Linked DNA regions of Canis lupus familiaris. The protein of the gene in region 1 purifies or fractionates together with the protein of each later gene. This does not show direct contact. Links are inferred from orthologs where the notes say so. Each region holds a gene or a part of one and is shown in the gene's direction. Other genes may lie near its edges.

What was found.
Region 2: the proteins of COPS5 (region 1) and DCAF4 purify together in Homo sapiens (affinity purification with mass spectrometry; 4 studies listed by BioGRID and IntAct, counting the BioPlex papers as one, with this or other methods). This does not show direct contact. The link is inferred for Canis lupus familiaris from reciprocal best matches to the Homo sapiens genes COPS5 and DCAF4.
Region 3: the proteins of COPS5 (region 1) and FBXO7 purify together in Homo sapiens (affinity purification with mass spectrometry; 3 studies listed by BioGRID and IntAct, counting the BioPlex papers as one, with this or other methods). This does not show direct contact. The link is inferred for Canis lupus familiaris from reciprocal best matches to the Homo sapiens genes COPS5 and FBXO7.
Region 4: the proteins of COPS5 (region 1) and ASB6 purify together in Homo sapiens (affinity purification with mass spectrometry; 3 studies listed by BioGRID and IntAct, with this or other methods). This does not show direct contact. The link is inferred for Canis lupus familiaris from reciprocal best matches to the Homo sapiens genes COPS5 and ASB6.
Region 5: the proteins of COPS5 (region 1) and JUN purify together in Homo sapiens (affinity purification with western blotting; 3 studies listed by BioGRID and IntAct, with this or other methods). This does not show direct contact. The link is inferred for Canis lupus familiaris from reciprocal best matches to the Homo sapiens genes COPS5 and JUN.
Region 6: the proteins of COPS5 (region 1) and DDB2 purify together in Homo sapiens (affinity purification with mass spectrometry; 10 studies listed by BioGRID and IntAct, counting the BioPlex papers as one, with this or other methods). This does not show direct contact. The link is inferred for Canis lupus familiaris from reciprocal best matches to the Homo sapiens genes COPS5 and DDB2.
Region 7: the proteins of COPS5 (region 1) and CUL4B purify together in Homo sapiens (affinity purification with mass spectrometry; 12 studies listed by BioGRID and IntAct, counting the BioPlex papers as one, with this or other methods). This does not show direct contact. The link is inferred for Canis lupus familiaris from reciprocal best matches to the Homo sapiens genes COPS5 and CUL4B.

What each region holds. Positions count from the first base shown.
Region 1 is NC_049250.1:17,045,640-17,049,811, reverse strand, and holds the start of COPS5 (COP9 signalosome complex subunit 5), read left to right. Parts: upstream 1-1,372; 5' UTR 1,373-1,391; intron 1,392-1,397; exon of another isoform or gene 1,398-1,482; 5' UTR 1,483-1,729; coding exon 1,730-1,872; exon of another isoform or gene 1,873-1,880; intron 1,881-4,081; coding exon 4,082-4,172. UniProt on the Homo sapiens protein: Probable protease subunit of the COP9 signalosome complex (CSN), a complex involved in various cellular and developmental processes.
Region 2 is NC_049229.1:46,643,819-46,647,088, forward strand, and holds the end of DCAF4 (DDB1- and CUL4-associated factor 4), read left to right. Parts: coding exon 1-45; intron 46-1,710; coding exon 1,711-1,904; 3' UTR 1,905-2,770; downstream 2,771-3,270. UniProt on the Homo sapiens protein: May function as a substrate receptor for CUL4-DDB1 E3 ubiquitin-protein ligase complex.
Region 3 is NC_049231.1:32,004,198-32,008,451, reverse strand, and holds the start of FBXO7 (F-box only protein 7), read left to right. Parts: upstream 1-1,454; 5' UTR 1,455-1,662; coding exon 1,663-1,784; intron 1,785-1,876; exon of another isoform or gene 1,877-1,967; coding exon of another isoform or gene 1,968-2,004; intron 2,005-4,254. UniProt on the Homo sapiens protein: Substrate recognition component of a SCF (SKP1-CUL1-F-box protein) E3 ubiquitin-protein ligase complex which mediates the ubiquitination and subsequent proteasomal degradation of target proteins and plays a role in several biological processes such as cell cycle, cell proliferation, or maintenance of chromosome stability.
Region 4 is NC_049230.1:54,248,449-54,251,519, forward strand, and holds the end of ASB6 (ankyrin repeat and SOCS box protein 6), read left to right. Parts: intron 1-88; coding exon 89-197; intron 198-813; coding exon 814-900; intron 901-1,024; coding exon 1,025-1,692; 3' UTR 1,693-2,571; downstream 2,572-3,071. UniProt on the Homo sapiens protein: Probable substrate-recognition component of a SCF-like ECS (Elongin-Cullin-SOCS-box protein) E3 ubiquitin-protein ligase complex which mediates the ubiquitination and subsequent proteasomal degradation of target proteins.
Region 5 is NC_049226.1:51,325,840-51,328,811, forward strand, and holds JUN (transcription factor AP-1), read left to right. Parts: upstream 1-1,140; 5' UTR 1,141-1,356; coding exon 1,357-2,382; 3' UTR 2,383-2,472; downstream 2,473-2,972. UniProt on the Homo sapiens protein: Transcription factor that recognizes and binds to the AP-1 consensus motif 5'-TGA[GC]TCA-3'.
Region 6 is NC_049239.1:42,779,111-42,782,610, reverse strand, and holds the end of DDB2 (DNA damage-binding protein 2), read left to right. Parts: intron 1-482; coding exon 483-625; intron 626-867; coding exon of another isoform or gene 868-918; exon of another isoform or gene 919-1,207; intron 1,208-1,958; coding exon 1,959-2,123; intron 2,124-2,263; coding exon 2,264-2,309; intron 2,310-2,617; coding exon 2,618-2,667; 3' UTR 2,668-3,038; downstream 3,039-3,500.
Region 7 is NC_049260.1:93,267,725-93,271,908, reverse strand, and holds the start of CUL4B (cullin-4B), read left to right. Parts: upstream 1-1,384; 5' UTR 1,385-1,399; coding exon 1,400-1,571; intron 1,572-4,184.

The sequences.
Region 1 (4,172 bases):
CCCCTGCGTATTTCTCCTCTTCCTGGAGTCTGGTCATCAATGTTTTGTCCTGGGGGTTTTTATTTTTTTTTTTAAAGATTTTATTTATTTATTCATGACAGACACAGAGAGAGAGGCAGAGACACAGGCAGAGGGAGAAGCAGGCTCCATGCAGGGAGCCCGACGTGGGACTCGATCCCGGGACTCCAGGATTACGCCCCAGGCCGAAGGCAGGCGCTAAATCACTGAGCCACCCAGGATTCCCCTTTTTATTACTAATTTCAACATGTTCGGTTCCCCCCAATACTGAACGGCCATGTGCCACACGAGAAAAGAGATCTCTAGCTTTCCAGCAGAGGGGAACTAAGAATCCTTTGTCCTAAGTTACTTTGTAAGAGGGTTTTAAAAACAAATTTTCTTCAAATGGAAGTTAATGTCGAAACTGCAGGCAGGGATGTGGATTCAATAATTCTAATGTTTTTAACTATTTGGCACGTACCGTACTAGGAGTGGAGGACACAACCCAGAGCCGCGTCCTGAACTCTTAAGCTTTTAGTGAAAAGAAAAAAATCCAAATAAATACATTATTACAATGCAACGTAACAGTTCTAGAAGCACCTACAGACGTTTAGAGACATCTAAAAGGAATCATTACTGGAGAGCGGAAAAAGTCAACATTTCATGGTAGAGATCCCTGAGCTGTTTTTGAAGATGAATTTGAGCTCCCAGGCAAAAAACAAGACAACACAACCGCCAGGGGAGAGTATTTCAAGCAAGGCTGACCACATATGCAAAGTTTCAGGATGATTAAAGATGAAGCAAGCAAGCAAATAAGTGAAATAATTAAACACTGCATTAACTGTTGGGGGAAAAAAAAAGTTGCTGAGATTAATTTGGCCTCGGGGATAGGAAGTGGTCTCACACCTTAAACGAATTGTTAAGAACTGGGTACTGATCTTTTCAAAACACTAAGAGCTCATACAGATGTTAATTTTTACAAACACGACAAAAGACCCTGTCGTAGCCTTCCACGAGTCTCCACAGCTTTCTTGAAATGCCGGAGAACTGCTCTCTTAAGAGACCCTTAGAGCCCAACCAAGGGTCCTTTGAACTTTACGCATGTGCAGTGACTCATCTGGAAGTAAACTGGGATGCCAGGTGTATCTTCGTCTCAACCAGCATCCAAAACTGCTTATGTCTCAAGTTTTTCACAGACATCCTTATTTTTGTAGGCTTTCAACAAACATTTTGTTTAAGGTACCCACACACCCACACGAAAACAGGTCTTTTTTTTTCCCCCAACACAGCCTAAAGAGCTAACCCACTTTTAATATGGCCGAGGCCGCGCCTGCGCAGTGCGAACAAAGAGGACCCGTTCGTTTCTGGCATAACGTTGCCGTGCCCTTCTTCCGGTGCGGAAGGCTATACCATTCTCACGCTCCGTCATTGTGTTTGTCCTAATGCGCGCATATAATTTTCTAAGATAATATGTTCTCGTTTCAGCCACAGGAGGATTCCTCTGTCTCTATTATGTAACCGCTGTTTGTATCGTGGCGTCCCGGAAGCGCTCCCGCCATCCCCGAATGGTCTGTACTGACTTCACCTCCGGTTCTGGGTGTCATGGCTGCCTCGAGAGATTAGTACGAGTTTGCACCTGTGGTGGGAAGGGTCCGAAGCCCACACCCAGGAACCTAGCCGAGTAAAGTTGCGTCTTGGTCGTGGAGGCGACAGCTTCTCGGATTCCACGGCGATGGCGGCGTCCGGGAGTGGTATGGCTCAGAAAACCTGGGAATTGGCCAACAACATGCAGGAAGCCCAGAGTATCGATGAAATCTACAAATACGACAAGAAACAGCAGCAAGAAATACTGGCGGCGAAGCCCTGGACTAAGGAGTGAGGAGGTCCCTGGCGAGACGCAGGGGATGGGAGGGGTGGCGGGAGTTTAGGACACCCAGGGGAGTGGGAGTTGCAGAGGGTGGGAAGCTAGTGTTTTCATGGACAGGGAGAAGAATATGCACCCGGGAAATTTGGGTCCACCTTTTTCTCCGCAAGTAGAGTCAAAGCCCTTCTCCTGGGTCTTGCTTCGATTCCCCTTCTTGTCTCTTTAACCCGTTTGCCTCCAGGGGATGTAAGGGTAAAGGACAAACGATTATAATTTCTCATTTCTCAATATCTATATTGTCATATATATGCCACACACTCTGCCTTAAGCCTTGTGTTGATATACACCTTGTTGAGACCTCTAGCTTATCTGAGACTGGAGACTGCACCCATCTTCAAAAGCCAAGTCAGCCCTGGCGTCTCTAACTATAAGCCATCTTTTAGACATTTATAAATCGATTGTTGATTGCTGGTAACTATTTCAGATACAAGGAGGCTCCACCCAGGCTCCCAAAACGTTAGTCCACCAGTTAACATGAACTAGAAATTTTATCAATAGAGTTTAAAGCTGTTTGCCCCTTAGCAAATGCCCTGTGTCTCTGGGAATGATGACAAGTGAAGGACTCTACCCACAGCATTTACCCTTAGTGTTAAGGGAGAGTAAAAAGAGCAGTCTTCAAATGGAGAGATAGAAAGGACAGCAGTGATCAACAACAAAACATTCTTCCATGTTTATCGAGTATTTAATATGGGCTGAGCACTGAGCTTAGGAATTTCTATAATATATTATTTAGTCTACATGACAACCCAGTACTGTATTTTCATTCCTTTTTTGGAAATAAGAAAATAAGCAAATACGAGTAACTTACTTCATGATCAGACTGAGGCAGTGAACTCTTAAGTGAATAATAGACTAAAATTCAAACCTCACAAGTGTCCCTAGTTCGTTGACTGGCCCTAGAAAATTTATGTATCTTCATTTTTTACCTGTAAAAAGAAAATTAGACCCACCCATTGGTGATTTCATAAAGATTAGATGAGATAATGCATTAAAAAGGGTCTACAATGTATGTAATAAGAGCACAATAACTTTTTTTTTCTTTTCCCCAGTGAATAAAGACCCAAGATTAATTCATGTCTTGACTCCCAAGACCAGGTCTCCATATTTTTCAGTTGTGATTGAAATCTGTGGGCAGACATCTTAAAAAGGCTTCTCAGGAAAGAAGAAGGAAAAAAAAGTAGGGGAGGGGGGCTTCTTAAACACATTGACCATATTATTAAAGACAGTTTGCTTAACTCTATAACAGGCTATGCATTTAAGGTTGCTATACTATAGACTACCAAATATTTGAAAACTATCCGTGTGCCTTATTGTCTGATTGCGGCTCTGATTATGTTCATCCCAGCGATCTTGAGCTGCATCAGTGAAACGGAAAATGTAATTTTATTCAAGAGTAGTTTAGTCACATATACATATGACAAACTTTTAAATAGTGATCAAAACAGAACTAAAGATATTAGAGCTACTTTTTTCATTTTGAGGCTGATAACACAGAAAGAAACAACACACTTTTTTGAGAGTACTATAAAAGATGGGTTAAGGCTAATAACAGCTAGCACTTAATATTAAGTTTTGGTATGTGTGAGGTAGTAAGATAAGCATTTATGTAAATTATTTCACTTTATTTCTTCCTAACAACAAATCTGTGACCTATTCCTATTTACAGATGAGGAAACTAAGGCGTGGGCATGCGGTGATTGTCTCTAGGCAACAGCTAGCATGGCAGGGCAAAGACTCAAACTTAATCAGATGGATGTCAGAGCCCACATTTGGATGTCAGGCCAGAAAGTTAGGCCTGAGAATCTTTAGGCACAACCATCCAACTAGACTCAGAATCAGAGATTTGGTGATTCCAAAATTAATGGAGAAAAAGTCTATTGAATTCTATGTAATTCCTTTCTACTTGAACAGCATATTTAAAACAGCATATTTTAAAAAACTATTTCATACTTTTCCCCTAAAGAAATACTTTGCAGGACCCAACATGTTTTTCATTTCCAGCCCCCTGCAAGAACTCTACTTCCCTTTTCTTTCCCACATTTCTACACTCTTTCCCCTTTCCCATCACTGTAAGTTCCTTCAATACTTGTTTTCTTTACAAAAACTATCTTTGAAATTGTGTTTTATATAAGTTAATTGTGCTGTACTTTTGTTTTGTAGTCACCATTATTTTAAGTACTGCAAAATCTCAGCATTGGCTCTACTGAAAATGGTGATGCATGCCAGATCAGGAGGCAACCTGGAAGTGATG
Region 2 (3,270 bases), on another chromosome or scaffold:
ACCTGCCCCTGCATGTGCACGAGGAAGAAGGAATTGTGGTAGCAGGTACCTGGGGAAGGGAAGCTCTTTCTGTCCCATCAGATAAAATGGCAGAGGGAGAAACTCCTCCACATGAGAACTGAGTACATGGGACTGTGGACTGTTGGAGAGACTAGGTGGGACATTGAAGAGGATGTTATTGAGCAGCAGTTAAACACCCACCAGTTAGAACAGCCCTTTGTCCTCACACGAGTGGGAGAACATAACCTCAGTAACAGGCAAGCTACGTGCAACAAAACGCAGCAGCTTGGGAGGCCTGGGTGTTCACCTGGTCTGCATTCAGTGTGGCCCTTATCCCGTCCTGTTCAACAGCGTGGGCTTCCCTGTTCTTTGTGCTCACTTTCCAGCAGAGCATGCTGAGAAAAGAAGTTAAAGTCATTGTAACAGAACTGGTCCTGATCCCCTTGACACCGTCCCTGAGGATCCGTATTACAGAATAGAGCAGAAGTGTTGAGCCACTAAATTCCCTGGGAAGATGGGATGCCTGGGTGGCTCAGGGGTTGGACGTCCAACTTTGGCTCAGGTCGTGCTCCAGGGGTCCTGGGATCGAGTCCCACATCGGGCTCCCTGCATGGGGCCCGCTTCTCCCTCTGCCTGTGTGTGTCTCTGCCTCTTTCTCTGTGTGTCTCATAAATGAATAAATCGAAAATTCCCTTGAAGAGTTACAGGTTGATCACAGATTTTGCTGTTTCTGGGAGGACAGAATGCTCCGATATCATGAAAGTTCGGTGGTTTGGTTTGACACATGAAATAAGCCCTTGACATTAAGGAATATATTCTTAGTCTTGACATGTCCTCAGATGTGCAGATATGCCTACAGAATGTACTTATTCTCCATGAATCTTTTTTTGTGCCAAAGAAGCATCACTTTGTTAGAACTTTCTCAGGCTTGTTTACTACTCTCCACCCCCAGCAGCAGTTAGCTTCCTGTTTAAGCCTAGTTTCCATCCCAGAAGAGCTGCTGTGCTCCGAATAACAGGAAAGAGAGGAGCCCCGCGGAGAGGCAGGCATGGGTGGTGGACTAGTGCAGTCCTCTGTGAGCCGCACAGCCTGAGCCATGCCGAGGGAGTGCCGGTGGCCGCATAGCCTCTCCAGTGGCAAAGTCCGTGAGACCCTAAGACCTTCCTCAGAAGGTCTCCAGTAGCGTGTCGGGGCTCCTGCAGACAATGGTTGTTTGGTGCCACGTTCCTCACAGCTGTGAGCCCTGAAGACTTAGCTGGTCTTAGGAACTGAGCCATTAAACCAGAAACAGCTCTGGTGAGAGTTGTCGCCTGGTTTGTCCCCAGGATATTTTGAAGTGAAGAGATCTTCCTGGTTACTCTTTTACAAAGAGGAAACCTGTTGCTCCCCCTTGAATAGACCTTGATGCAAGAGAAGTAGAGCACCCACCTCTTAGGATGCCTTGTGCACCAGCCAAGGTGTCACACAGCCAGCCAGTGCATCCTGCGACTTGGAATACCTGTGACTAGTTGTGATTCTAGAGCACCAGACCTGCAACTTTTGATTTTCAAGAAGTACATATTCTCAGAAATCATTTTCATTTGGGTTTGTGTTTTGGCTCCTGTGGAGTCCCGTCTAGTCTTAGGAATCATGAGAAGCTAGGTCCACGTGTATACAAGTGCTCCTGTGTGTTCGCTCACTAACCTTCCGTGTCTCTTCTCTCTCTCCCAGTGGGCCAGGACTGCTACACGAGAATCTGGAGCTTCCATGACGCCTGCCTGCTCAGAACCATACCCTCTCCACATCCTACCTCTAAGGCTGACATACCCAGTGTGGCCTTCTCTTCTCGGCTCGGGGGCTTCCGGGGAGCCCCAGGGCTGCTCATGGCTGTCCAGCAGGACCTTTACTGTTTCTCCTACACCTAATTCCACAGGGTACAGCCTGGAGGGATGTGGATTTGACTTAAGAAGTAAGGAGCAGCTATACTTCTGCCACAGTTGCTGTTTCCAGTGAGGGCATTTTAAGTAGACGTTCTGTGTACACAGATCCATCCATCCAGCTGTCAGGAAGTAGGTACTGTTTTATGTGGAGACACTTCAGTAAAGTTATTTCAGTTAAGTTGTGAGCTCAGAGAGCTCAAAAGTCCTTTTCATAAAAGGTACTTATTTCCTTGTTGAATTCCTTAGAATACTCTGTGTCCCCCCTCCCTTTTTTTTTTTTTTTTTCTTAAAAAATACTTTTTCTAAGGGCTAAAGATTGGCAGTAACTAAACTAAAACTGTTTCTTTTACCAAAAGCCCTTTCAAGAGGGCTAATGATGAGGTTGGGTGAGACTGTGGTGCAGTGAGTGCCTAGGTCCCAAAAAGATCTGCATGTGGACTGGAGAAAGCCAGCTGGGGAGACAGGGAGGGAGGTGGGGAAATCATTTCTCAGTCTCTAGAGGTAAAGATTGAAGGCTGGATTTTGCAGTCATTAAAAAGCCTTCTCAGACTCATTCAACATCCACAGACCTCACTTTCTCCTTTTATCACCATCCAGAGGCATTGGAAGGAAAAATGGATCTTTCTAGATGCTCGAGGTTTTAAACAGGTCCTAGCATACTTTGTGGAGGCACCTTCCAGAATGTTAAGTACAACAGCTCCTATTTCTGTAATGGTGATTTAGAATGTCAGATTACAGGGCCCCGTCTCAAAGAAAATTGGCCTTGACTTTCTGTAATCTAGAAGCACTTTGAGATGTTTATACAGCGTTCAAGAGCCTTTCTACCAAACAATAAACTAGAAAGAACTGTGTGTTGCATTGCTTCTGTTAACGATTCAGAAGATCATGATTGATGATTGTTCACTACAGCAGTGAAACCAGCTGTGTAACAGCTACTCAAATCTTGGGTGAGGGGTAATACAGACCAGCTGTAGTGGCTTTGCTAGAGAGCGTTAACCTTGGCCCCCAGACCCAGGCCCCCCTGCCTGCTCTGTGCACACCCTAAGAAGCTGACCTGGAAGGACAACAGCAGTGGACTCCCTGCCCACCCCTCTGCTGGGATGTGGCGGGCTGAGGCTGTGTTCCTCCACCCAAGGCTGCAGCTCCTGTTGGAACATCACACCCTCTAGGTTCCAGCACCTTCTTTCCATTTGTCCCTTCAGATCTACTAGTAACTGCACCTCACTTGCTAGCCCAGGAACTTTGCCAATTAAACTCCAATTACACCCTTGAGTGGTAGTAATTCTGTTTTCTGCCAGAACTCTAGTACAGAGGACCAAATCCAAAAAAAAGAGCAGACTGGCTATCCGAT
Region 3 (4,254 bases), on another chromosome or scaffold:
ATGTTCCCTGTTAGTCAGCCAGACTCAATCTCTATTGCTCAGAACCAAGAAACCTGATAAAGAATCCCCTGCTTAAAACTCTGCATTGGCTTCCCATACATTCTAGAATGTGTCTCAAATCCTTTGCTTAGCTCAAAGCTTTATCTGGAAAAGTACCCACTCTGTCCTTCCCTCTGGTCACACTGAGCCACCCTGCTCCTACCAGCCTTCCTTAATCTCATATTGCTTGCCACTAAAGAATTTAGGGGCACAATCACTCTTCTGTATGTACCCCACCCCTCGGGATTGTTCTTTATAATAAAAAAAATCATTACACTCTACTACAAGAGTTGATTCATTCAACTGTAAACTCTGCACTCATTCTTTGAGTCCCCAGGCACCTGGAATAATACCTGGCCCAAAGTAGGTGTTGATGCCTGTTTGAAGATCAGGACGTGGACAAGTACTGCCACCTACTGGGAGAAACTTCATTCAACTCTAATAATGATTTGGACAATGGCTAGCATACAAGGATGAAATCTGACCATTCCCTAAGTTATCATCATTGTTGTCCGACTCCCCAGGATAGGGTTCTCCCAGGCGGCTCCCAGTGATCCCTGTCCAGTGCTATTCATGCCCTTGGGTTGATCCTCCCACACTGAAGGGTTGGCTCTAATGACAGAAGTGGTGGTGCCTGCCTTCCGAGGCTAGAGCACAAAAGACATCGCAGCTCCTGCTTTGGTCGTTCCGGGACCACGTGTTAGGAGGGAGGCCAGATGCCGTGTCGCGGGGACACTCCATTGGCCCTACGGAGGGGTCCACGCCGTGGAAACCAGGCCTCCCGCCCACAGTCGGGGGAGCTCTCCTGCAAGCAGGTTCTCCAGCCTGAGTCAAGGCTTCAGGTAACTGCAGCCCCGGCCTACATCTTGCCTGGAATCTCTAGAGACCAAGACAGACCCACCCACCCAGCCGTGCCCATACAGAACCTCTGGGACAATTAATATTCGTAGTTTTAGGCTGCGAAGCTTTGGGGTGATTGCTGAGCGACACACTACTCCTCTCGTCTCCGACACAGATCAGGGGACCACAAGCTGTTTCATATTTTGCTGTTCCACGAGGAGACGGGCAGAGCCTGGGCTGCACCGCAGGCTTCTCAGAGCCGAGGCCTGCGGCTGGAGCTGAGCGCCGCGGAGCGCAGGCGGCACGAGCCCGGCACGCCCGGGCCCGCAGAGCGGCGAGTCACGCACCCCGCAGCCGCGCCCTCGACGGAACGTCCTCCGCGGCCGCCTGGGAGGAGCCGGCACAGCCCTGGCCACGAAGGGGCCGCGCCGCCCCCGCCCCCGCCCCGCCCAGGCCCCGGCCCCGCCCCCGGCCCCGCCCCCGCCCCGCGTGGCGGCCGCGGCACCTGCGCACTGCGAGCCTCTCACGCCCAGGCGGCGCCGTTGCGCGCCGAGTCATCGATCGCAGAACGCCGAGCCGCGGGGCTGGGCGGGGGCCGCCCGCCACCCGCCCGCCCGCGGGGTGGCTCCAGGGGGCGCCCTCACGCGAGGGGCAGGCGCTCCTGTTCCAGAGACCGGCCGGCAGGGGCCGTGGCGGGGCCTTCTCTCCGCTCCTCCTCGGCACCCTCGCGGCTCCGGTAGTCGCCCCCGCCCCCCCCGGGCCCCCGGGCCTCCGGCCGCCGCCATGAAGCTGCGGGTGCGGCTCCAGAAGCGGACCTGGCCGCTGGATCTGCCCGACGCCGAGCCGACGCTGGGCCAGCTGCGCGCGCACCTGAGCCAGGCCCTGCTGCCCTCCTGGGGCTTCGGGTAGGCGGCCGGGCGGGGCGCGGGGGCGCGGGGGGGCGCGGGGGGCTCCCCGCCTGCTGCGGGCGGTCACGTGAGGCGGGGCGGCGGGGCGGCGGGGGTAGGGCCCCGGGACTGTGACGCGCGGAGGCCCGGGCGGCGCGGGCGCTAGCGCTGCGGCTCGGCGGCCCCCGGCTTGCGGCCGACATGGCCCGGCGTCCCGGGGACCCGGTCCCCCTGCAGGGTGAGCCGTCGCCTTCGTTTCTGCCGCAGGGGAAGCCGGGGACCGGCCGGGGCGGGCGCGGGGGTTCGGCTCCGGGGGGACTTTCCCGGGCTCGGTGGGGTCGCAGGTCACCGTCCCCGGCGGTCGCAGGGTTCCGGGGAACACGTCGGGAAAGTTCCAGAAGTTAGGGACCGGCCCGCGCTCCGAGGCCGCCGTGAGCGGGCTGGAGGCTGCGCCGGGCGGTGCGCGGCCCGCGGCGGGACCCGGTTCAGGGTGTGGGTGCTGCGGTGCTTCTGGTTCCCCGGCCGAGCTGTTGCTTTTTTGCTAAAACTAAGGTAAACGTGGGTCTTGGGGTGACCCTGGAGGGCTTGCGGTTTGGGGGCAGTGACGTTGAGAAATCAAGGACCGGAATCCGCTATTAATTTAATGGGGCTGCAAATGAGACTTCGTTTCCACCGAGTGTTTTCCGGGGATGACAGTCTGGGGGCCGAGGGACAAAGCTAGGGGTGGGCCTCTTCGCGAACTGAGCGAGCGAATTGGGCGTTTGAGCGTGCTGAGGAAACAAGGGTAGTCGCTGGGGCTTTCTAGGTGAATTCTTCAAAAGGAAACCTTTCTGTTAATTAAGCGGATTTTTTTTTTTTAAGATTTTATTTATTCATGAGACACAGGCAGAGGGAGAAGCAGGGTCCCTGCGGGGAGCCGGGTGCGGTACTGATCCGGGCACCCCGAGATCACCAGCTGGGCCCCCCCCCCCCAGGTGCCCCTAAGTGGGTCCTTTTTCTGAGACTTTTATAGATTTTGACTTTATTTTTAGGGAATAGAATAAAATGAGGCCATGTTATGAACTTGTCACCTTTCATTTTTCATTTTCATTTACTATATTAAAAGTAAGCCTGTTTTTTCTCCAAATCAAAAATGAGATTTGAACTGTTGAGTGTTGTATTAAGTGACACGCCTATTGTTATTTCCTGGTGGTAAGCCTAAGCATTTTGTATGTTAATGTCATCACCCCACCAGAAATCTCAAAAGGACCTTCTTTTTAAAATATTTTTTCATATGTATGTATGTGTATTTCATTAATATTTTTTTTTTTTTAATTAAGGGCACTCCTGAAAGGACTGTTTAAGAGCCCAAGTTAGTTTCTCCTTTGGGTTTGTTTTTATAGTTGAGGCTGGTTAACTGGAAGGAATGTAAGCTTCAGCTTCTGAAAGTAAATTCATTCTTCTGAAAATATGTTCACTTTATAATAAATGGGTAGTTCTAAAATACAACGGTAGGACACTATTATTTTTTAAGTGTCTTCACTGAGCAAGTGGATCTGGGTCTGACATGAATATTTTTTAAAGGCCTGGTGTTTCTAAGATAGCATTTTCTGATGAATTTGAATTTTTTCAGTTTTTAACCCCTCCACTGGAAAGTTATATGTTACTTTAGAAGTAGCTCTTCCCTTTTCCTAAATGGGGAGGGAAGTCCAGCATTTTTATTAATTATATGGTTCTTTAGCTTTTCTACAGGTGGTTGTTTGGATGAACATTGTATTGACATTGTTTGAAAAAAAAAAAAAAACCTTTTGCTGTGACAGATGATCCATAAACACATAGTTCATATGAGACATTTTTCTCTTGGGATAGTGTTTTTTTGGGGGGCATCTTCAGTATTTATTCATGGGTTTGAAAACAGAAGTATAGCTATTTATTTCCTAATAAGCAGGAGTAGTTTCTAAAATTTTAGTAATTTCTCTACCAAAGACACTTTAATTGGTAAGAAAAAGTGTTTTTACATGTGAAAGAAAATGAATTATTTTGCGTACTTTTGAAAATGCAGCATTGCAAGAATAAACAGAACATGATTTTCAAATCCTTGGTTAACCTCTCAAAAAGTTAATGAAGTTAGCATTGCTGAGTCTAAGTGTCTTATAAAATGTGCAGCGATTTGTTAATTACTCCGCACCACTATGTGATGAAATGATGGATATTCTCTCAAATCAGAGAGCCTATGATGTGGAAGGGAGGAGAGTTTGTTTCAGGCTAATTTGAGCTCCTGTTTAGCAGTGGACTTTGGGATTTGTGCTGTTGTCATTATAAAAGACATCATACATAACGTTATCAGTAACAAAGGCGACCTTGTACTTAACAGTGGGAGGGATGCATTTATACTCGGTCCTCTATATTCTCATGTTTTTGTGATTGTTAGTATTTATCTTGGACATGGGTCTAGTGTTTTGGAAGAGACATAGCTGACTGTCCTGTAAATACATTGACTAGGGAGCCC
Region 4 (3,071 bases), on another chromosome or scaffold:
CTGCTCTGAAGCAGGGATGTGGTGAGTGGGGGGCTATGGGCAGCCTCACAGGCCCCCAGGCCCATTCAGCTATGCTTTCTTGGCTCAGATCCATGAGAGCAGCCCCTTGGACCTGGCCAGTGAGGAGCCCGAGCGCCTGCCCTGCCTGCAGCGCCTCCTGGATCTTGGAGCAGACGTCAACGCGGCTGATAAGCATGGTGGGTGCCTCCCACAGGAAAGCAGGGCACCTGGCACCGGGTGCTTTGCGAGGGAAAGCCAGAGCACCCCAGGACAGTGGCTAGGTGTGCAGGCTAGATTTTGCTGCATTTTGCTGACCTGCAGAAGCTTTCAGGAAGTGGTGCAGCCATTGGCCCCACGCCAGCCCCTTGAGGTCTGTCTGCAGGAGGAAGTAGGGCATGCATGTGGTCAGATTCTGAGGCAGAGTTAGCACTTCTTGGCAGAGACTAAGCCCGGGTCTCAGGTAGCAGCATCTGCGTGTCCAGAAATATCCCACGTCTTCTGGCCACTCTGCTCTTGGTTCTGTGTTGGTGGAAAGGGAATGACTAGAAACCGATCACCCTCCACCTTGGCTGAGAAGTTGGTCCTTTTTAAAGTTTGCTTTCTGGGGGGTGCCCAGCTGGCTCAGTTGGTAGAGTATGTGACTCTTGATCTCAAGAGTTGTGAGTTCAAGCCCCATGTTGGGTGTAAAGATTACTTAAAATCCTTGAGGACAAAACAAAGTCCACTTTCTCATCCTGTGGTGTCCCCTGCACCTGAGGGGTGGTCCTGACCTTGGTTTCCTGGTCCACACTCCTCATTCTCTTCCTTCCATAGGAAAGACTGCTCTGCTCCATGCTTTGGCCAGCAGTGACGGGGTGCAGATCTATAATACTGAGAATATCCGGCTCTTACTGGAAGGAGGTGAGGCTGGTCCACAGGCTGTTCCCAGGCCCTTCTCTTTCTTCCCACCATTAAACATGAAGCATTACTTTGCAGGGATTTAAGACCTTCTCCTGTTTTCTCTTTTCCTGACTGGCTCTTGTAGGGGCAGATGTGAAGGCTACCACCAAAGACGGGGACACTGTGTTCACCTGCATCATCTTCCTGCTTGGTGAGACGGTGGGAGGGGACAAAGAAGAGGCCCAGATGATCAGCCGCTTCTGCTTCCAAGTCACACAGCTGCTCCTGGCCCATGGGGCTGACCCCAGCGAGTGCCCAGCCCACGAGTCCCTCACACACATCTGCCTCAAGAGCTTCAAACTGCATTTCCCTCTCCTGCGCTTCCTGCTGGAGTCTGGAGCTGCCTATAACTGTTCCCTCCATGGTGCATCCTGCTGGTCTGGCTTCCACATCATCTTTGAGAGGCTCTGTTCCCACCCAGGCTGTGCTGAAGATGAGAGCCACGTGGACCTCCTGCGCAAAGCTGAGACCGTCCTAGATCTCATGGTGACGAATTCCCAGAAACTCCAGCTGCCTGAAAACTTCGATATCCATCCTGTGGGCAGTCTAGCAGAGAAGATCCAGGCCCTTCACTTCTCCTTGAGGCAGCTGGAGAGCTATCCTCCATCCCTCAAGCACCTATGTCGGGTTTACATCCGGCTCTATCTTCAGCCCTGGCCTGTGGATGCGAAGGTCAAAGCCCTACCTCTGCCTGACAGGCTGAAATGGTACCTCCTCAGTGAGCATAGTGGTACCGTTGAAGAGGACATCTGACCACTCCCGGATGGAAGGGTGCAGGGTCTGGGCAGCTCAGCCTGCTGGTGGATTTTGGTACCTGTGGCAGCCTTAGGGGAGAACCTTCTGGCCATCTTCCGGAAGGTACAGGTTGGGAGAGGAGACTTGATCCTAACTGTGTACCAAGAACACAGGTGGAGCCCAGCAGCTGCGGTCATTCCTGTGGGAAAAAAACTCTGTCTTCCAGGGGGACTGCCCCCCCTTCTGTCTGCCAGAACCCCCAAGTCTCAACCACATTGGGAAAAGGGACAGGGTGTAGATTTGGGACAAGTGTACACCTCGTCTGCAGGGAGCATCAGGCAGGGTAGCTTTGAGTCTCTGTCCTCCTGAGAACTGTAGGAGGCTGGTCTGTCTTGCATGGGGCCCAACTAAAGCCAGAAGGAAGCATGGTAGGCTTGTGGGGGACAACCCTGCAAGGCCCTTCACTCCCAGCCTCTCCTCATGCTAGATTATGTCACATACAGAAGTGCTTTTGGTGGGCTAGGGAGAAAGCTGAGCTGACCCCTGCCACCTTTGGCCGTTCTGGGACCAGGTCACCCACGGCCCAGCCACCAAGGCACGGGACTGGACTCTGGTGGCAGCTGTCTGTGCCAAACCTGGGACCTTGGGAGACCATGTCTTCTGCTAAAAGCAATTCTGCATGACCAGAGACAGTCCTTTCCAAAATGTCTCACAATTTTGTGAGGGGTCCATCTGATGAAGAAAGCTACACTGCTGAAAGCTGACTGTACTGCCCAGGCCGAGCCCTCACAAAGCCGAGTCCCAGGCACATGGGCCCTTATGAATTGTGTAAATGCTGGGGAAGCAAGCTGAGGCAACTAAAGATACATTATAAAGTAAAACATTTCTCTTGGCCTTCAAGGTGACATTTTGGCCCCTCACCCTTCCCCAGCCTCAGATAAAGGCTCCCACTGCAGCCATTAAGAGGTGAGAAGCACTAGGGGACGGCAGCATCTGGTGGGGACAATTAACACAGCACTGCTGTCCCAGTTAAAAAAGAGTACCACTCCACACTGGCTAGGGCCTTCCCATTACAGGATTCACCCTTTTATTTTCTGACTGAAAATGCTCACCGAGGAGGAGCTGCCAGGCCCAGCCAGGAGTGAGGCTGCAGACTTGTAACGATCACATTAGGGACACCAGGGCTCCATCACCACACAGGCCTCAGAAAGCAAACATCCCCAGCAGCTGCAGGAGGTAGCAGGCCTGCCCAGGCTCGCCGTAGCAACAGGGTGACAGTGCCAGCTCCAGGCCCGGCTCCTCTCCTCCCCCCAAGGGAAAAAAGTCCTCTATGACCGAGAGTTCTCTTCCTCTTAAGGCAGCCAGGCCTACAGCTGGAAGGCCAGGTGGTACAAGGG
Region 5 (2,972 bases), on another chromosome or scaffold:
CCCTGAACTGGAGCCCGCCCGGGCCGCGGGAGCCCGCGTCCGCCCGCGTCCGCCCGCGTCCGCCCGGCTCGCGGCAGCCGCCGTCACCCGACAGTCAAATCCCAAGACGTCAGCCCACAATGCACCGGGCGGGCCGGGAAAGACGCGCGGCGGAGGAGACGGGGGCAGAGCCGGGCGCGAGCCGCGCGGGAGGGGGAGGGGGGAGGGGGAGGGGGAGGGGGAGGGGGAGGAGGAGAAAGAAGGGCCCAACTGTAGGAGGGCAGCGGAGCATTACCTCATCCCGTGAGCCTCCGCGGGGCCGGAGAAGAATCTTCTAGGGTGGGGTCTCCATGGCGACGGGCGGGCCCGCCCCCTGGAGAGCGACGCGAGCCAATGGGAAGGCCTTGGGGTGACATCATGGGCTATTTTTAGGGGTTGACTGGTAGCAGATAAGTGTTGAGCTCCGGCTGGATAAGGGCTCAGAGTTGCACTGAGTGTGGCCGAGGCGGCGAGGTGGGAGTGGAGGAGCGCGGACTCGGGGAGGCGGGCGGCCGCGGGCAGGCGAGACGGCCGGAGAGTCCGGGCTGCAAAATCCGCTTTCCGTTTTGCATTTTCCTCGCCGACTGGCCGGAGCTAGCGCCTGTGGCTCCCGGGCTGGTGTTTCGGGGAGCGCCCGGAGAACCCCCTTCTCCAGCCGCCCCCGGGAGGAGAGCCCCGCCGCCCGGGAGCCGTGACAGCGCGGAGAGCGGCGACAGGTCCGTCCGCGCAAGTGCAGAGAGTGGCTGCGGCGGCTCAGAACTTTCCTGGCCGGGAGCACAGGGGACGAGTGGCCCGGGTCCCGGAGCGAACTTTTGCAAAGCTCTGCCGCGCCTGAGGCTGCGGCGGCTGCGGCGGCGGCGGCGGCGGCGGCGGCGGCGGCCGGGACGAGAGAGGCGGCGGCGGAGCGAGGAGACCGCGGAGGGACGTGCGCTCGGCGCCCCTCGCCCCGGTGGCTGAACTTGGGCGAGCGCGAGCCGCGGCTGCCCGGCGCCCCCTCCCCCTGTCGCCGCGGGGGCGGGCCCGCGGGCCCCCGGGAGCCGCCGCGCCCCGAGAGCGCCCCGAGCGCGCCCCGTGGGTGACCGCGACTTTTCCCCGAGGCGGGCAGCGCGCGCGCCAGCTGACCCAGGAGGAGCGCGGCGGCGGCCGGAGCCGGTGAGCGGGGCGCGGGGGGAGGACCGCCGGCGGGAGCGCGCGCCCCTCCAGAAACTTTCCTCTAGCCCAGGGCCGCCCCCCCCACCCGGGAGGCGCGGGGGTCCCCCGCTCGCCAGCGCGCTGTTGCGGCCCCGAAACTTCTGCGCGCAGCCCAAAGTAACCCCGCGCGAAGTGACGGACTGTTCTATGACTGCAAAGATGGAAACGACCTTCTACGACGATGCCCTCAACGCCTCGTTCCTGCAGTCCGAGAGCGGCGCCTACGGCTACAGTAACCCCAAGATCCTGAAGCAGAGCATGACCCTGAACCTGGCCGACCCGGTGGGCAGCCTGAAGCCGCACCTCCGGGCCAAGAACTCGGACCTGCTCACCTCGCCCGACGTGGGGCTGCTCAAGCTGGCCTCGCCCGAGCTGGAGCGCCTGATCATCCAGTCCAGCAACGGGCACATCACCACCACGCCGACCCCCACGCAGTTCCTGTGCCCCAAGAACGTGACGGACGAGCAGGAGGGCTTCGCCGAGGGCTTCGTGCGCGCCCTGGCCGAGCTGCACAGCCAGAACACGCTGCCCAGCGTCACGTCGGCGGCGCAGCCGGTCAGCGGCGCGGGCATGGTGGCCCCGGCGGTGGCCTCCGCGGCGGGCGGCGGCGGCGGCGGCGGCGGCTTCAGCGCGGGCCTGCACAGCGAGCCGCCGGTCTACGCCAACCTCAGCAACTTCAACCCGGGCGCGCTGAGCAGCGGCGGCGGGGCGCCCTCCTACGGCGCGGCCGGCCTGGCCTTTCCCGCGCAGCCCCAGCAGCAGCAGCAGCCGCAGCAGCCGCAGCAGCCCCCGCAAGCGCCGCACCACCTGCCCCAGCAGCTCCCCGTGCAGCACCCGCGCCTGCAGGCCCTGAAGGAGGAGCCGCAGACGGTGCCCGAGATGCCCGGGGAGACGCCGCCCCTGTCCCCCATCGACATGGAGTCGCAAGAGAGGATCAAGGCCGAGAGGAAGCGCATGAGGAACCGCATAGCTGCCTCCAAGTGCCGGAAAAGGAAGCTGGAGAGGATCGCCCGGCTGGAGGAAAAAGTGAAAACCTTGAAAGCGCAGAACTCGGAGCTGGCGTCCACGGCCAACATGCTCAGGGAACAGGTGGCACAGCTTAAACAGAAAGTCATGAATCACGTTAACAGTGGGTGCCAGCTCATGCTAACGCAGCAGTTGCAAACGTTTTGAGGACAGACTGTCGGGGGCTTGAGGGGCAACCGAGAGAGAGGAGAGAGAGAGAGAGAGAGAGGAGAAAAAAAAAAACCACACACACACACAGAGAGCGAGAGCGAGAGAACTTGAGAACTTGACAAGTTGCAAGAGAGAGCGAGAGAGACAAGAAGTGTCCAAGGACTAAAGCCAAGGGTATCCAAGTTGGACTGGGCGGCGTCCTGACGGCGCCCCCAGTGTGCACGAGTGGGAAGGACTTGGCGCGCCCTCCCCTGGCACGGGGCCAGGGAGCGGCTGCCCGCGGGCTGCCCCGCTTTGCGGACGGGCTGTCCCCGCGCGAACAGAACGTTAGACTTTTCTTTAACATTGACCAAGAACTGCATGGACCTAACATTCGATCTCATTCAGTATTAAAGGGGTGGGGGGGGGGGAGGGAGGGGGAAGGGTTCCAAACTGCAATAGCGACTGTAGATTGCTTCTGTAGTACTCCTTAAGAACACAAAGGGGAGGAGGGGGGGTGTTGGGGGAGGGGAGGCGGGAGGGAGGTTTGTGAGAGCGAGGCTGAGCCTGCAGATGAACTCTTTTCTGGCCTGCCTTCCTTAACTGTG
Region 6 (3,500 bases), on another chromosome or scaffold:
TAGAACCTGCCTATCCTACCACTTCTGGGGTTTCTCCCCTCAATATTTAGAAGCTGCTAGGTCAAACCTTTACCCTGAGATCATCAGCCAAGTTGGTGTCTTGGAAAATTCCTGATTCTAGCTGCCTCAAACAGCTGCTAGGCTTTTAGAATGGTTGTTGTTTTTCTAAGATTTATTTTATTTGGAGAGTGCGAGTGGGAGGAGGGGCAGGGGGAAAGAGACAAGCAGATTCCCTGCTGAGCAAGGAGCCCCAATGTGGGGCTCAGTCCCAGGATGCTGAGATCATGACCTGAGCTGAATATCAAGAGTCAGCTACTTAACCAACTGAGCCACCCTGGCGCCCCAAGTTTCTAGAATGTTTTTGTTCACAGCCCAGATTCACCTCTTCCCTTCCACCCCTGTCCAGACAGGAGTGGGAGAGAGGGCACCCCTGTGGGGAAAGGCCTGTGTTCTCTTCAGCTCTGGGGCTTTTCACTTGCCAGCCTGTTTCAGTCCTGATGGAGCCCAGCTCTTGACCACTGACCAGAAGAGTGAGCTCCGGGTTTACTCAGCCTCCCAGTGGGACTATCCCCCAAGCCTGATCCCACACCCTCACCGCCACTTCCAGCACCTGACACCCATCAAGGTAAGTGATGGAGGCAGGGAGCTGTGATTGTGGGGATGGACCGGGTCTGCCCGAGGTAGGGAAAGGCCAGATCTCATCCTGCACCCACACGAAACAGTCTCTTCTCCCCTGGCCTTTCTGCAATTTCTGTCCCCATTCTGAGATCCCGCTTTGCTGGGTTGCGTCTCCCGGAAGCTCTTTCCGTTTTTTTTTTTTTTTTTCTGCTCAACCTACTTGTCCCCCTGTTCTGCCCTCCCTTCCAGTTACCTGCATGTGGTGCTGGCCCACTGGCTGACCTCGGCCCCCAACACTGATGGTCTTTAAGTCTTCGGATCCCTTCCCGCCCATGCCCCAGACCCACTCTTCTGCTCTCCTGGTTTCTGTTCTTTTCGAACACTACAGTCCCTCTTCAGAACTCCAGGGGTCACGCCTGTACTTCTCTGTCAAGGCAGGCCAACACCCCTGGTTGGAGTCCTTCGGTAAGCTGCTTGGGTTTTGGATCTCGGTTTCCTCATCTCTAAAAATGCAGTAATAGTACCTGGCTGACAGGGTTATTGGAAGAATCGGTATACTTAAAACACATGGCTAGTGCCTGGGAAGCACTATGTCAACGGTGATCGTTTAATCTTAGAGCGGCTCTCACATACCTCAAGTCAAATCCAAGCTCTTAACAAGGGTTCTTCACTGGCTGGTTCCCACTGATCCATGTGTCATTTCCCACTTCATGTCTGGCGAGGACAATCTCCAGCTTCCCAGGCGGGACTTGTACCAACTTTCTCCTTCCCGCTAACCATGTCTTTCCTCCTTCAAAACTTCCTTACGATTTCTTAGGAAAGCCCCCGTCTGATTCTGTCATTCCGAATCACTGCCAGATTTGTTTTGAGTGGGATCATCTGGGGAACATAGGTTTCCTTCTTTTTCTTGGCCACTAGCCATTTTCTGCTCAACTCTTTCATTCACATTGATCGAGGAGGGACAATAGTGGGATTACTTCAGAATTTATGTCCTACTTTTGGTTTTGGTTACCAGAGACTTTTTGCTTGGTTGGAGGCCTACCTCTTTGGTTAATGGTCAAGCTGATGTTCAAACGTCTATCGATTGGTATGATCTCAGGAAATACAAGAGAGAAGGCCTGAAGGTGTCCCAAGGTCCAGAGAGGCCAATTTGGGATTAAAAATGTGGAATGGTAGATGCACATGCACTTGAAAGCTGTTCTTGTAGTTTCATGTGGGTCTTACTTCCATTATTAAATTGCTGGCACTTGTATCAACAATTGTGAGTGGCAAAGAATACTTCGGAGGTCCCTCTTGACAGTACTCTGCATTTGCTCTCATGACAACTCTCCATCTCCTAGGCAACCTGGCATCCTCGGTACAACCTCATTGTCGTGGGCCGATACCCAGATCCCAATTTCAAAAGCTGTACCCCTCACGAATTAAGGACGATCGATGTGTTTGACGGAAGCTCAGGGAAGATGATGTATCAGCTCTATGACCCAGAATCTTCTGGTATCATTTCGGTGAGGTCTGGGCCCTCAAATGATGGGCGGGAAGCAGGGATTCAACCTACCTTAGCTGGCCAAAAATGACCAGAAATTAGCCATCATGTCCTCTTCTCCCAATATCTCACCTCCTCATGCTTACACCCTTGTCTCTGCAGCTCAATGAGTTCAATCCTATGGGGGACACACTGGCCTCTGTGATGGGTGAGTGAAGCAGGTTGTATCTCAGACTGGCCAAGCCCTACCCTACTCCCCAATGTTGAGTGCAGGCTCTCCTCAGCTTAGCCCTGCCAGTCACCCCAGGGTAGGAGGCAGGAAAGAAGATTTCCAGGAGACAGTGGACACTTTGGCCTAGGCCCTCCATGCCTCTTGTTTTGTCTTGGTTGTGACAGTGCCTGGCTGCTGTCCAGTGTCCTGGTTTCCTTACCAAGCCCTAGGTTCCCTGGGCCAGCCCCAAGTTCTCAGAGTCTGATAACAGAAGGTGAGAGTCAGACTGGTCTCACTCCTCCTAGGTTATCACATTCTCATTTGGAGCCAGGAGGAAGCCAGGATGCGGCCATGAGAGACACTAATGAAGGTGTGGGCCAAGCAAGAGCTTGGAGCCGCCTGAGGACAAATCCTGTAAGAAGAGGCGGCTGTGTATTAAAAGGGCCAAAGGTATCCAAGTCTTAGGGTTGGAGCAGGGACACTGTGGCATGGGACACTATGGGACTGGGACACTGGCACGTTACTGCTCTGGACTCAGCTCCAGAAACTTCTCCAGAGTTGGTGCCCCAGGTGCCCCAAGGGCCCCTGCTGTATCTAGCCTGGAGCCAGGCTTCTCTTGGAGCGAAGGTACTCTTATATGTTTGATGTGCAGTGATGGAGTGATAAGGTAATGGTTTTCAGTTTGTGCTCACTATTGACATGGCTAATAAAACCATACCCAACTGAGCCTGTGAGTGGATCTTCTAGCACTGACCTAATTAGAGGGCTCCTTGCGTCCCCCAAACCAAAAAAAGGCACAGAAACAGAGTCTAGAACTTTCATTCTCTGGAAGCTGCCTTAGACCTATTCTGGGCCACAGTCACAAGCTGTCCAGCTCACAACCTGCATTCACCTCTGGTCCCCAAAGACCCCGACGTAGCCAAAAGGGATCGGTAGTGTCATAACTATACTGCAACTCATGCCCCCCTTCCCCCGACAAACACCCTTCTGACCTGCTCCAGCTGCAGGGTGACAAAGATGCCTGAAGCATTATGTCTAATGGTGCCTTCAGGGAGACAAAGGAAAACTTGGCCAGCGGGCCTCTGCATGATCCCATTCCCTGGCAGCCAGTGTTTATACTCCCAGAATTGTGCAGTACTTTCCACTAAAATAAACACTGGGGTGCAGAACTGTGTCCTCTGAACCATT
Region 7 (4,184 bases), on another chromosome or scaffold:
GTGGACATCTGCTGTTTTGATTTGCCCAGCATTCTTTCTTCCCTGCTTCTAGTAGTAGCACTCCTTTTCATTTGGAGAGCTGTTTCTCTTTCACTGTCCTTTCAATATAGTACTGGTGGGACAGGTAATGATAGTAACTTGCCCCATTGCACCCTCCACAGACCCAGCTCTGCACCTAACCCAGGATGGGCTAATCATAATATCAAACTCTGCTGGACACAATGGCAGCTCCAAAGGGTAGGCATGTGTCCTAGGCCAGAGATACAAGACCTTCCTTGGAATAATACAAATCAGAGGTAAAGAAGTAGCTTTTTCCTTTCTTTGGACATTAAACTGTAAGGATGTGACCCCAAAGCAGTTGGTAACCATGTCTCTATCATGTGAAGGAGTCTTAGAGAATGAGGCAATACAGAAAAGAGAGGTGGAGAGATGACCGAGTTTTATGTTTTTGCTTTTGGTTCCAATCAGGCCCCTGTTAGGCGAGTGGGGTTTCCCATGAAAGGATTGGTCAGATCTGCTGTCAATCAATCATCCTTGAAAACCGTTAAAAGCACCAGAACTCAAGCTTCAGTGGGCAGCACTTTCTTAGGAAAAAGCCCGCGAATTGCTAGCATGCCTAACGGTCGTCGGTGGTCAGTTGTTGTCCGCATTCCTAGCCGTTGGTTTTCTGATGTTAACAGAACGCTGGTAACCACAACAAATCCTGTTGGTCTTGGGGCAGTGCGTTAAAAGCTCCTTAGAGATTATGGAAAGAGGAGGGTATCCTTTAGGAGTTTACTGGCTGTGTGCCTGACTTGGAGCCAAGAGACTTTAAGCCAAGGCTCATCTCTGGCCACTTTAAATTATTTTGTGGTATACTTCTTTTCGTTATTCTCAGACGTTTAAAAGAGATATGTTGCTATAGAAGTTATAGCTTTTATTCACTGGTGATATGGGTAAGTTAGGCAAAAGCATGTCAGAGCCATAGTTACCTGCAGAGAAAATTCTCAGCCAGGTGGTGACCACGGCGTGGAAGAGGGATCCCAACAACCATGGCTCTGTAGTCTGATGAAGAGGCCAATATAGAAGATAGAGACCTGGTTTGGATCATAGTGAGATTGGACTTTGAGACCCTCTGAAATAGCTGGAGGACCCCTTGACCAGGGTCTGTTTGTTGGCCTGGAATCCCCCCCGGGTGGGTGTGGGAGTGGGGTGGGGGGGCACGAGCCATAGTAATTTAAAAGGGCATGGCAGATTTCCAATTTTAGATGTTAGTCTGAACAATTGTGCTTTTTCTCCCAAGTTAGCATTAAATGAAAGAAGAAAACTAAATATTAGACCCGAAACCATAAGGGATAACCGGGAAGGGTGTGATGAGCCAGCCAAAATTGTGAGTATTTTCTTGAAGATATGAAATAGGATGCAATTGATTGAGACCAGAGTCAATGGATCCAGAAAACTAGAGATATGGGAGAGAACTGCTGTTAACCTGAATTCTCTATTTTCTAATGTAGTCCTCCAAAGATGGACCATGTCACAGCCCTCTGAATCAGGGAATGGAAGAGATGATGCAGCCATCTCAGAAGATAATGGTGAGTAAATAAACTAGTAAAAGTCAAATGAGGTGAGGTATCTAACTCTTGATCTCATCTCAGGTCTTGATCTCACAGTTATGAGTTCAAGCCCCACATTAGGCTCCACACTGTTTTGGAGCCTACTTAAAAAAATAGTAACAATAGGGGCAGTCTGGGTGGCTCAGCGGTTTAGCGCAGCCTTCAGCCCAGGGCATGATCCTGGAGACCCCGATCGAGTCCACGTCAGATTCCCTGCATGGAGCCTGCTTCTCCCTCTGCCTGTGTCTCTGTCTCTGTGTCTCTCATGAATAAATAAATAAAATCTTTAAAGAAAAAAATAATAACAATAAAAATTAAAAACTATTATACAATTTTAATACATACAGAAGAATATGTGTGACATATAATTTATAGAGCATAGTAAGAAAACAAACACCCATGAATCCATCACCAAACTAAGAACTAGAACATTTAACAATGCTTTTGAATCTACCTAAGTTCTCCCCTTTGCTTCCCCCAGAGCAATCCCCTACCCTGGATTTTGTTTTGTTTTTTTCCCTTCTATATTTTCTATCCATTGTTTTCCTTAATTTTGAGCTTTACAAAAAAAAATTGTCAATTGCATATATTCTGTAATTATTGCCTTTTTCGTGTAACATTAATTTTGTGATTTATGCATATAGCTGTAATTAATTTTTCACTGTCGTGTAGTATTTCTTTGTGCAAATATACTCCCATTTAGTCATTCTATTAAAGAATATTCTCGGGGATCCCTGGGTGGCGCAGCGGTTTGGCGCCTGCCTTTGGCCCAGGGCGTGATCCTGGAGACCCGGGATCAAATCCCACATCGGGCTCCCGGTGCATAGAGCCTGCTTCTCCCTCTGCCTATGTCTCTGCCTCTCTCTCTCTCTCTCTCTGTCTCTGTGACTATCATAAATAAATAAAAATTAAAAAAAAATTTTAAAGAATATTCTCTTGTCATGTTTTGAGGTCCATATCAAAGTTGATACAGACTAGGAACAGAAAATCTGTAGCATGTTTTGAATCACTTCCTCCCTTAGGCCACCACTAAACAGTCTCCATATATCTATTATTAGTACTTAGTATATTCAAGGGCAAAGGATCAGAAATTTATTTTTTCTGTAAACGATTACATAGGAAATATTTTAGGCTCTTGCTGGCCATATGGCCTGTCCCAACTATTGAACTCTGTTGTTTTAGCACAGAAGCAGCCACAAAAAATATGTAGATGAATGAGTATGGCAGTATTCCAATAAAACTTTCTTATTTTTAAAAGATTTATTTATTTCAGTGAGAGAGTGCACACGTGCAGCGGGGAGGGGCAAAGGGAGAGGGAAACTCAAGCAGACTGCACTGAGCATGGAGCCCAACATGAGGCCTTATATCACTACCCTGAGATCAAACCCGAACTGAAACCAAGAGTCAGACGCTGAACAACTGCACCACCCAGGCACTCCCCCACCCCAATAAAACTTTATTTATAAAAATAGGCAGCTGGCTGGGTTCATTCAACTGACTGCCCTTTCCCAAACTCTGCTTTAGTTTATCTGGTTCCTGTAGCATTGTCCAGTATTGTGGTCACATGTGCACAAGTATTATCTCACTTCTTTCTCATTACCTTATTTCCCATGCTTATCTCTCCTCATACCCACCCCTCCACCTCCCCCCCCCCAGTTCCTGAACTAGTGGCTCAAAGTAAGAATTATCAGTAGCTACCACTCCAACAGCAAGTAGGGGTAAGTCAGGCCTGGTGCTAAGAGGCCTAGGAATTACTGTACCAGATTTTAGACAGAGATGCTGCCTTGATTTCCCTCAATACTCTAGGGGTTTTGGTTAGGACAAACTATTCCCTGAGAACGAGTTTCCTTGAAGATAGTAAGTATGTCTTAGTCTTTCTCACCTTCAGGATTTAAACCTGCGCCCTGTTTTCCTTCTTTGGGCCCCTTGCCCCCTCCCACTCTTCTTGCCTGGCTAATTCCCACTTACCCTCACAGATTTAAATTGAATTACTTTCTCTGGAAGCTATTATTTTCTCTGGAAGCTTTTTGTAACTCCCCACCTCCACCTTTTCTCTACTCCACCCCACCTTCCTAGGCTGTGCAGGTGTCTCTCTGTGTTCCTACAGCAGCTTTTATCACTCTGTCCTCTAATTGTCTGCCTCACCCACTAGGCCAATTGGGAACTGTTTGAGGGCAAGGGTTGTCTTTGTATACTCAGGGACTGGATCATAAGAGGTCCTCAGGCAAGGCTTGTTTAGTGTTTGTCAGGATTTGGCTAGGAGAGGGAGCTGGTTTCTACCTCTGGTGAAGATCAGCCGTTGATTGAGGGTCCAGCCAAAGAATGGACTAATTCTGATTCTCTAAAACCAAATTGTTGTCTCCTTGAATGTGCATTGCTTGCTGCCGCGTCCTGCCTGAACTGAATCCAAGCTTGGTCTCCTATTAGGCACTATGATTTGGCTCATCACAATAAAGGAGTAGTTTTTTTATTTCTTTTTTTTTTCCCTCTTGGTGAGTGGGGCTCTGAAAGTCTTTTCCTAACTTATCTATTACTTGAGACAATTTTGTGGCATGTCTTCTGCTTAAACTGGAAATTATGAGAAATACCATA